Linked DNA regions of Arabidopsis thaliana. The protein of the gene in region 2 purifies or fractionates together with the protein of the main gene of each other region. This does not show direct contact. Each region holds a gene or a part of one and is shown on either strand. Other genes may lie near its edges.

The links.
Region 1: the proteins of PORA (region 2) and OEP16-1 fractionate together in Arabidopsis thaliana (co-fractionation; one study listed by BioGRID). This does not show direct contact.

The regions. Positions count from the first base shown.
Region 1 is NC_003071.7:12,413,591-12,417,803, forward strand, and holds OEP16-1 (outer plastid envelope protein 16-1), read right to left. Parts: upstream 2,072-4,213; 5' UTR 1,870-2,071; coding exon 1,756-1,869; intron 1,669-1,755; coding exon 1,617-1,668; intron 1,366-1,616; coding exon 1,334-1,365; intron 1,238-1,333; coding exon 1,204-1,237; intron 1,127-1,203; coding exon 1,059-1,126; intron 980-1,058; coding exon 833-979; 3' UTR 518-832; downstream 1-517. Other genes in the region: CXIP4 (CAX interacting protein 4), read right to left, coding at 2,402-3,400. UniProt on the Arabidopsis thaliana protein: Voltage-dependent high-conductance channel with a slight cation-selectivity; selective for amino acids but excludes triosephosphates or uncharged sugars.
Region 2 is NC_003076.8:21,990,221-21,994,525, forward strand, and holds PORA (protochlorophyllide oxidoreductase A), read right to left. Parts: upstream 2,595-4,305; 5' UTR 2,554-2,594; coding exon 2,500-2,553; intron 2,410-2,499; coding exon 2,299-2,409; exon of another isoform or gene 2,217-2,298; coding exon 1,679-2,216; intron 1,582-1,678; coding exon 1,223-1,581; intron 1,119-1,222; coding exon 963-1,118; 3' UTR 644-962; downstream 1-643. Other genes in the region: AT5G54200 (Transducin/WD40 repeat-like superfamily protein), read right to left, coding at 3,345-3,904, 4,149-4,242. UniProt on the Arabidopsis thaliana protein: Phototransformation of protochlorophyllide (Pchlide) to chlorophyllide (Chlide). PORA may also function as a photoprotectant during the transitory stage from dark to light.

The DNA.
Region 1 (4,213 bases), on a different chromosome or scaffold from region 2:
TTTACAATAAATATTTTTGTTTCTAATATGCTTGTGGTATTCAACATGTATAATTATTTATTTATGATTTCTAACTATAACCAAAGATTCATATACTTTAGCCAATTTCCTCATATATAAATGGGAAAATGTCAAAAAAATCACGAACTTTCAAATTTAGGACGATTCAATCTTGAATTTCACGGAAGACAAATAAATCGTAAAGTTTTTGTTCACTTTCTAAATAAATGATAAAGTTTTTGTTGAATTGTCATTGGAGTCATGTCGTTGAGTAGGTTAACATAATTATTTTACGGCGTTAATGTCTCGTTTATCTCCTTTGTTAGAACAAAACAACATTGTTTATTGCAACTCGTTTTGTCCGTTAAAACAAATTTAAACCCTAAATCCCCAAATCGATTTCAATATCTGCGATTTTGAGGTCAAAGTAAGTCTGTGATTTTGAGATAATGAAATCGATTTGAGAATTTAAGGTTTCTATTTGTTTCAAAAGACAAAGCGACGTCGTTTTATTTTTTGGGCAAAGACTTAATTACTCTCTCTCTTTAACTATAGTGATAGTTGCTAAATACACATCGGACAACTCGTTATGGTTGAGTATACACATTAGAGAGTTTTATAGAAACCACAAAATCATTACTACTCTCTATACAAATTTTCATATTTCGAGGCATTTCTCATATTGAAAATAGCTAAATTGCATATTTAACGTCAACAATACTCGAATGTATTCATTTCAAAAACACTACATTGTTTTTTATTATTATTTAAAGAGTAAACAAAGGAATCCACACCATATGAACCAAATTGGTCCCTAAAGGAAGATGGAGAATCAGTAGAAATAATGATTGTTAACGAACTGAGAAGCGGTTGCAAGCGCGCCACCAAGAATGGCATCGATCACAATAGTGTCTTTGCCTTTCTTACCAACCGCTGAGAGCACTGCTCCTGTCGCCGCGCCTGCTAACATTGCGTTTTTCTGATACAAACAACTCAACCAATTAGTTCTACAAAACTGTAAGAATTGAAAAGAGTGTGAAAATGTATTAGTAGTATACCCAATCTCTGCTGCCACGGATACGTTCGATTCCGTATTCTGTTCCAATGTACACTCCACCAGCAGCTCCTGATCATATTCATATGCCACAAACTTTAGACTTTTCTTAATCACTCAAAAATGAGATAAATTAGAAAGCAACTTACCCCAGTAAACACCTTCTTTACACAACTTCTTAAGCTGCAACAATATTCAACAAAAATTTCAGAAACTTAAAAAAAGATTACACATGTCTTCAAACCAAAACACATAGATTTGATTCAGTAGTGTACTCACCGCATGCTCCAAAGTGCTCTTGGAGAGACTCCCTACAATATATGAACCATGGAGTAAAAAATGATATTTTGCAGCTCCAACAAACAAAGGTAATTAATGATAAGCACAAAAACAGATCCATCAAAGGTGTGTGCTAGTTGTTCTATATATATACAATACATTCTTCTATGCCTTTACTAATTCATCAACATCACCAAAAACACAACAGTAAAGTTACATAATAAAACTAGACAGAACAAGAACTAACACTTATGTGTTGTGTTTGATAAAGTTAAGGGCTTACCTTTGTCGATGGCCTTGTAAGTGTCTTCTGCAAGAGATTTAGTGACTCCAACCTAAAACCCATCAAAGAAGAAAACAACAATGAGAAACAGATCACAAATTAACAAAATGATCCATCAAAAAGAGATGAGTTTTTTTACAGCTCCGATCTTGAGGAAGGCATCAACGGTGAGATTGAGAAAAGGGTTTCCCATGTCCACTGCCACCGACAGCTTCGGCGTGCTAACAGTCCCGGAGAATGTGCTTGAAGGCATCTTTTCTTCTTCTTTCTTCCTCTGTTTTTGGTTTTGGGATATTTTTCTCTTTGATCTTTGCTTGTTCTGTAACAAGTTCACCTATTTCTTGGGATATAAAGGGGCTTTTAACGGTGGATATTTTAAACTATGGTTCAACGGTGGAGAAGAGATTAACAAGGACCCACGACGAGATATGTATTGAGCAATGAGCCAGTTAAATGACGACATTGTCCTCCTAGGCTAGAGCCATGCCAAAAATCCAACCCACAAGTCTCGTGATCTCTTTACAACGACACTTGCCGACGTGAGCTCTAACTTGCCGACGTAAATAATGGAATAGAGTAAAAAGACACAAATTAACACCAAGTATCTCAATAGTGTTATAACACAAGCTTGAAACAAACAGACCAAACCAGAGTATGGAGAGTGAAAATACAAAGACATGTTTCAACACAAATCAAATCCAACATACAAAGACATGTTTCATTATTGTACATAACATTGATAAGAGAGAAATGGAGAGTGAAAATGGCTCATATAGATCGATTTCCTACTCTCGCTCTTTCCTGTGATGACGTTTCCTGCTCTTCTTCTCAGACCGCTTAGAAGAACCACGTCCAACGCGTGAAACATCATCGCCTGAAACATTTGCTTCTGAGTCAGAAGAAGCTGCGACTTTGTTCCTCCGCTTCTGTCTTCTATCATCTTCAGAAGACTCTGAATCAGAATCATCAGAATGATTACGACGGCTTCTCCTTCTCCTCTTCTCCTTTCTACTCTTTCTCTTCACACGTCTGTCATCTTCATCCTCAGACTCATCAGAATCATCTTCATCTCTCTTTCTTCCTCTCCTCTCCTTTCTTCTCTTACTCCTTCCCTCTTCCTCATCCTCAGACTCACTCAAACTCCTTCTCTTATGCGAACTCCGCTTCTTCATCGACCTCCGCCTTCTCTTCCTATCTCCAGAATCCGAATCAGAATCAGACTCATCAGAAACACGCTTCTTCTTCTTCCTAACCGAACTCGTCTTCTTAACACTACTCCCACCTTTCTTCTTCCCAAACCTCTCAGCAATAATCCTCTCCATCTCAGAATCAACATCAGAATCAGAACTCTCACTCTCCTCTTCCTCTTCACTACTCACCTCCTCAACCTCACCTTTACCAACACCTCTCCTAATCTTCTCCAACCCCGACAAAACCGCAGCTTCAATCGCACCAGGATCTTTCTCCTTATCCTCCTTAGTACTCAAGAAATTCCTACACTGAAACGTCAAATGCCCAACACGGCCACACTTCTTACAAGAACCACGAGCCTCATCGTTATTCGAACCCGTAATCCTAGCAAGAGCCAAAAGTCCCTGAAAACTCGCGTACGAGTTCTCGGGATCTTCGGTTTTCTGTTGTGTCGTCTTAGGCTCTTCTTTACTAGTTGGTGCATAAGGATCATAACCAATCGCACTCTGCCATATTCCATGAGTCTGAAGCGCTGCACTACTATGCACCCGATTGTTTGCGGGCATACGCACTCTTCCTGCTGTCGCCGGCATCTTTTCGAAACCCTAGAAAAAACCTTCACAAACCTAAACCAATAACAGAGAAATATAGATTGATTAATACCTAACCAAATCAATATCTTCTCCAAAATACAATTACACAGAAATTTCACAACCCAATGAAATTACCCAGATTAAGCTGAAATCTAGGGTTTCAAGCCCCAAATCATCAAAAGCTCACATACTAATTTGCCGATTAAAGGGATAGATCCTAAATGTGAAAGAAAAACTCAGAGATCCTAGGGTTCCAATCGATCCTAAAGAGAAAGAGAAGAGTAAATAGTTTACCTGATTCGAGTGAAGGAATCGTTAGGAAGAAGCGACGGAGAGAGATGGATGAAGAAAAGGTTCAAACTTTGTTCTTCGCCAATGGCCTCTGAGGCAAAAAGGAAAGATTGGAAAGTCTCGAGGGTATATTATAAAGATTGGGAAATAGTTGGAACCGCCCTTTAGCTTTTGTTATTTTACATTTATATCCTCCAAATTTTGTGTATTTCATCATTTTTAGTTTTGTCACATAATTCGGCTGGGCCTGGCTGCGTTGAGAGGGATTTGGGCTGGGCCTGGCTGAGTAGTTAATATGTGTTTTTCTTTTTTACTGCTGTAATCATCCATCATCAAATAGTAACTGAAACAAAAAAAACTCCAGATAAAAAACAAACAAAACTGCGCATTAGCTTAATTTAAATTTAGTTAGTTTTGTGTTATCTTCATGACAAATAATAAAATGAAATAAAAACTCATAACTTGTTTATGATTAACCTCCAATTAACAATTTTAATTAGCTCGAATATTCTCCTCTTAATC
Region 2 (4,305 bases):
TTTATCACAAATTCTCACTTCGATATCAACAGTAATACTCTAACTGTCTTGATTTTATAGAGTTAAGCTTTTCATTATGTAAAACACTTACAAACTAAGTAGAGAACATGTCGGTCAGAAAAACGAGAATATTGCAAAACTGGAGCACTAAAAAGGATCCGAGTAGGGACTATTCAAAGCAAACTCTACCCTGCCTGGATTTTATTTGGAGCAAATAATATAAGTTTGGGCTTTTCGTAAATATAAGTTAAGTGGGCGTTGGCCCGTATATCGCCAAATCGAGTTATGTCATGTGCTCCGTAAAAGTCCCACATCGCTTGCCTAGAAACTTAACTTCTTGAATATATAAGACTGTGAGAGCGTTGATGGTCACGACCTTACTTGAACAGGATCTGTTCTATAGGCTCGTACCTCTGTTTCCTTGATTTCTCAAGAGACAGGCCTTTTACCCTGGTTGATGAACCATGACCGTGCGGCTAGAGCGTGATTGACGGCCACGATCGTCTTCGGACGCATCCGGTGCTGTAGAGGATCGTTACTCGGCTCGGTTCTACCTTGCCGGGGTGGTCGCACGGCGGTCTGACAGGTCCCTTTCCTTCTTTTTTTTTTTTTCCTTTCTCCGGTTTTTTTTGCTCTGTTTTGAGGTCTATTGAACACTCGCTAAATTAAAAATAAAAACATATATGATTGTAGGTGATATTAGAGTCTCTTTATTTCTAATCTTTTTGTTATAAAGCTGTATGACTCTGCTTCTCCTTGTAGTTTACAATCTCTGTTTCATGTTCTTTGACAAAAAAAACTTGAAAAGTGGAATTATTTGTTTCATTACAGATAGAATCAGCCAAAACACAACTACTAAATCAAAGTTGTTACAGGCTTTATTAATGTCTCCTTTTTTGTTTGTTTCTCATCTTAAGCCAAACCAAAGGTTGAAACACCGAGGAAAAATCTCATATCAAATTTTAGGCCAAGCCTACGAGCTTCTCGCTGACTTCCCAAACTCTACGAGCCTTCTCGACATCGCTAGCTTCTTGAGACAGCTGATTCTCAAATGAAGCCGAGGTCTTGTTCCAGCTCCAATACACTCCCGACTTCGTCAAGCTTGGATCAGCCACCACCTTCAACAAATCAATACATAGGTTGAGTACATAGCAAGAATAATAAACTGAAAGAATGGTTTCTTGCGTCACAAACAACGTTAGGTTTTGGTTAATTTTCTAACCTGAGCAAGTCTTTTCCCAGCCTCTGACTCGGAGACGTAACCTTTTGTGATGTACTTCTGGAAAGGAGGGAAGAGGGTACGGAAAAGAGGAATATGCTCTCTGAACAAACCAGTCGTTGCAATACAACCGGGGTAAAGGGAAGCAAAAGTTATGCCGGTGTCTTCATGGAAACGCCTATGAAACTCCTGCATTGTCAACATGTTGCAGACTTTGCTATCTTTATACGCCTTTGCGCCAACAAAATCTCCTCCATCTATCATCGCCGAGCTGTTTAGCCCGTTCAACCCGCCTGCTAGTCCCCTCAAATCACCAAGATTAGCCTTTGGAGGTACATTACCAGCCAATGTATTAGTGTTTCCTGCTCAATAAGAAACAAAACGAATAAGATTTCAGATTTAGGGTTTAGAGTAAGTAGTAAGTACATAAAGCATTCTTCTTATGAGGAGACTACAGACCGGTTATGGATCCAACAATGATGAGACGTTTTGATGGATAATCGGAGTTCTTCAAGTCATCAATCAACAATCTTGAAAGAAGAAAGTGGCCCAAATGGTTTATCCCAACGCTAAGCTCAAACCCTTCAGCAGTGAAAGTAGGTTGATTAGCCGTTGGCTGATAGACTGCGGCATTGCAGACCAACACATCGAGAGGCATCTCAGCTCGCCTGAAGTTATCAACAAACTGCCTCACGCTGTCCAAAGACGCCAAGTCCAAATGCATCACAGTGTAGCTGTCCTTAGGCATCCCTGCAGATTGAGCGGCTCTCTCAGCCTTGAGGAAGTCTCTGCACGCCATTATCACGTGCCATTTACCTGTCTCGGCTAATGCCTTTGCCGTTGCTAAACCTAGCCCTGAAGAAGCTCCCGTGACAACCACGTTTCCTTTTCTAAGTGTTTTCTTGCGGTCTAAGGAAGATTTTGTGACTGATGGAGTTGAAGTCGCGATTGCTTGAGCTCGAATAATCGCTTTATTATTCCTCAAGCTCTGTTCCCTCTACAAAGTAGAAGCATTTCAATTGATTAGATTATTACATCATTTTCCAAGAAAAATACTCATAAAAGATTGTGTTTGGTACCTTGCATCTCAATGAGGAAGAGACAAAGTCAGCTTTGCTTTGCTCCGAAAGTGAAACACCGAACAGACTAGACTCTTTGAATGATGATGATGCTGAAGCATTTAATTTTCCCTGCAACCAAAACATGCGAATTAATCTCCGAGACAGGTCATAAACAAAAAGGAAACGATTACTAAAACAAAGAAAGAGATAATAAAATACATCTTTGCGGACAGAGAAAGCAGAGGAGACCAAAGAAGCAGCTTGAAGGGCCATTGTTTCGTTTAAGACTTAAAGAGTGTAATGTGAATGTTATGCAAATGTCTGTGCTTGCGTGAGTTTATATAGAAGTTGAGACAAGAGAAAGGTGGTCCCCTCCCATATGTGTTTCCTAGGATATGTGTGGATAAGATTATCTTTAGGGAAAGTTTTTGTCAGTTTCTTTTCTTAAAGCCAATGATAATTCGAGAATTAGATTTTCTGTCAGTAGATATTTTAATGTATAATTTCATGGGACTCCATCTCTTTGTGTATGGGAGGATTAACAGAGAGCTAGAGCCCTAGAGGTATGAAACAAAATTATACTCTGACTTGTTATGGACACTCTGATCTAAAGATAAAACTGTTCATTGAAATGATGAATTGACAAAAATACCCAATTATTTTACATGTAAAGATAAACCTAAAGACAATTACAAAATGTGTATACAAAAGTTTACCATATATTCTCTCCTTGAAGAGTTATAATATCAGAGACAAATTCTACAAACTTCAAGTTGAATAGCACAGACTTTCATCGAAGCAAACTATATTGGTATATGAAGTTTCTTTTTCTGCCTATTTGAATCTTTCTTAAAAATAACATTATATATATTTGCTAGAGATTTGAATTTTAGAGATAACAAATCAGATAAATAAAAGAAGCGTGGTAAAAAAAAAAAACGAGAGAAGTCAGTGGATGAACCAAACCTTCTCTCAATCTATACACTTTTGACAGGAGATGGTTTTACTAAGGGAAAATTTCACTTTGCCTTAGGATTTTGATATTGTAAAACCTTCTCCTTGCATCATAGACGAACTGGAAATCCAAAATTCTGAAATATTCTGATTTCGCCTCGTAGACTGCCAGTCACAATCACCATAGACCACGCCGAGGCACTCGGTTTTGTGTTAACCTGTATGTTAGACATGTCCACGCTCACACGAGGGCTTGTTCTGGCTCGGTTTTTTGCAGCCAGCAAGAGTTTTTCTTCAGGCCATGTTGCTGAGACTCTATCGAAGAAGTATCGGTTTGTGGCGCTTGAAATGATACCGTTGGTGACGGTTTTGTTGTTGGTTGGATCGTTGACAGGTGTCGGAGGGTTATTATTGGCTGTGAAGGATGACTGTTCGGGGCTGTTGTTAGTGTGGTTGTTACTGATTTTGCCAGGCCAAGGTGCAGCCACAGAGACGTCACGACAATAAAAGTTTTCGTATGAGTTTGTGACTGTGACACGTTTGCTTCTTCCTGCTCGAGAGTCTGAGTCGTAGTTCCATACATACACATTAGAGTCTTCGCTTGCTGATACTAGGAATTTCCCGTTTGATGTAAGTGAAGCCGAGATTTGGCTATTCGTGTTGCGAAATCCTGCGAACCCGAAAATTTTCTAAAACTCAGAAAAACACACATTACTTGGCAAGAACGTTGAGCTTATTTTACTCCAACACCAGATCAAGAAAAAGCGAAAGAACATCATGTTCATGAAATGTGGGACTCATGTGTATCTTAGATGACGATAGAGCGAGAAATTCACCTCCATGAACAATAAAGTTATTCCTAACTCCCGAGTTCTAAGAATGGAGAAGAGAGTTTTAAGCTTAGTATTGTTTACCTTTAAACTTGTGAACAAGGTCAACACCATCAACAACACGCGTACGTGAATCTGCAGATGTGACGAGAACTTCCGATGAACTTCCTGCCACAAACTGTGAAAGTTTCACGAGAATAGTCAGATAAACCAGTACAGCATCCAAAACAAAATTGTAGTA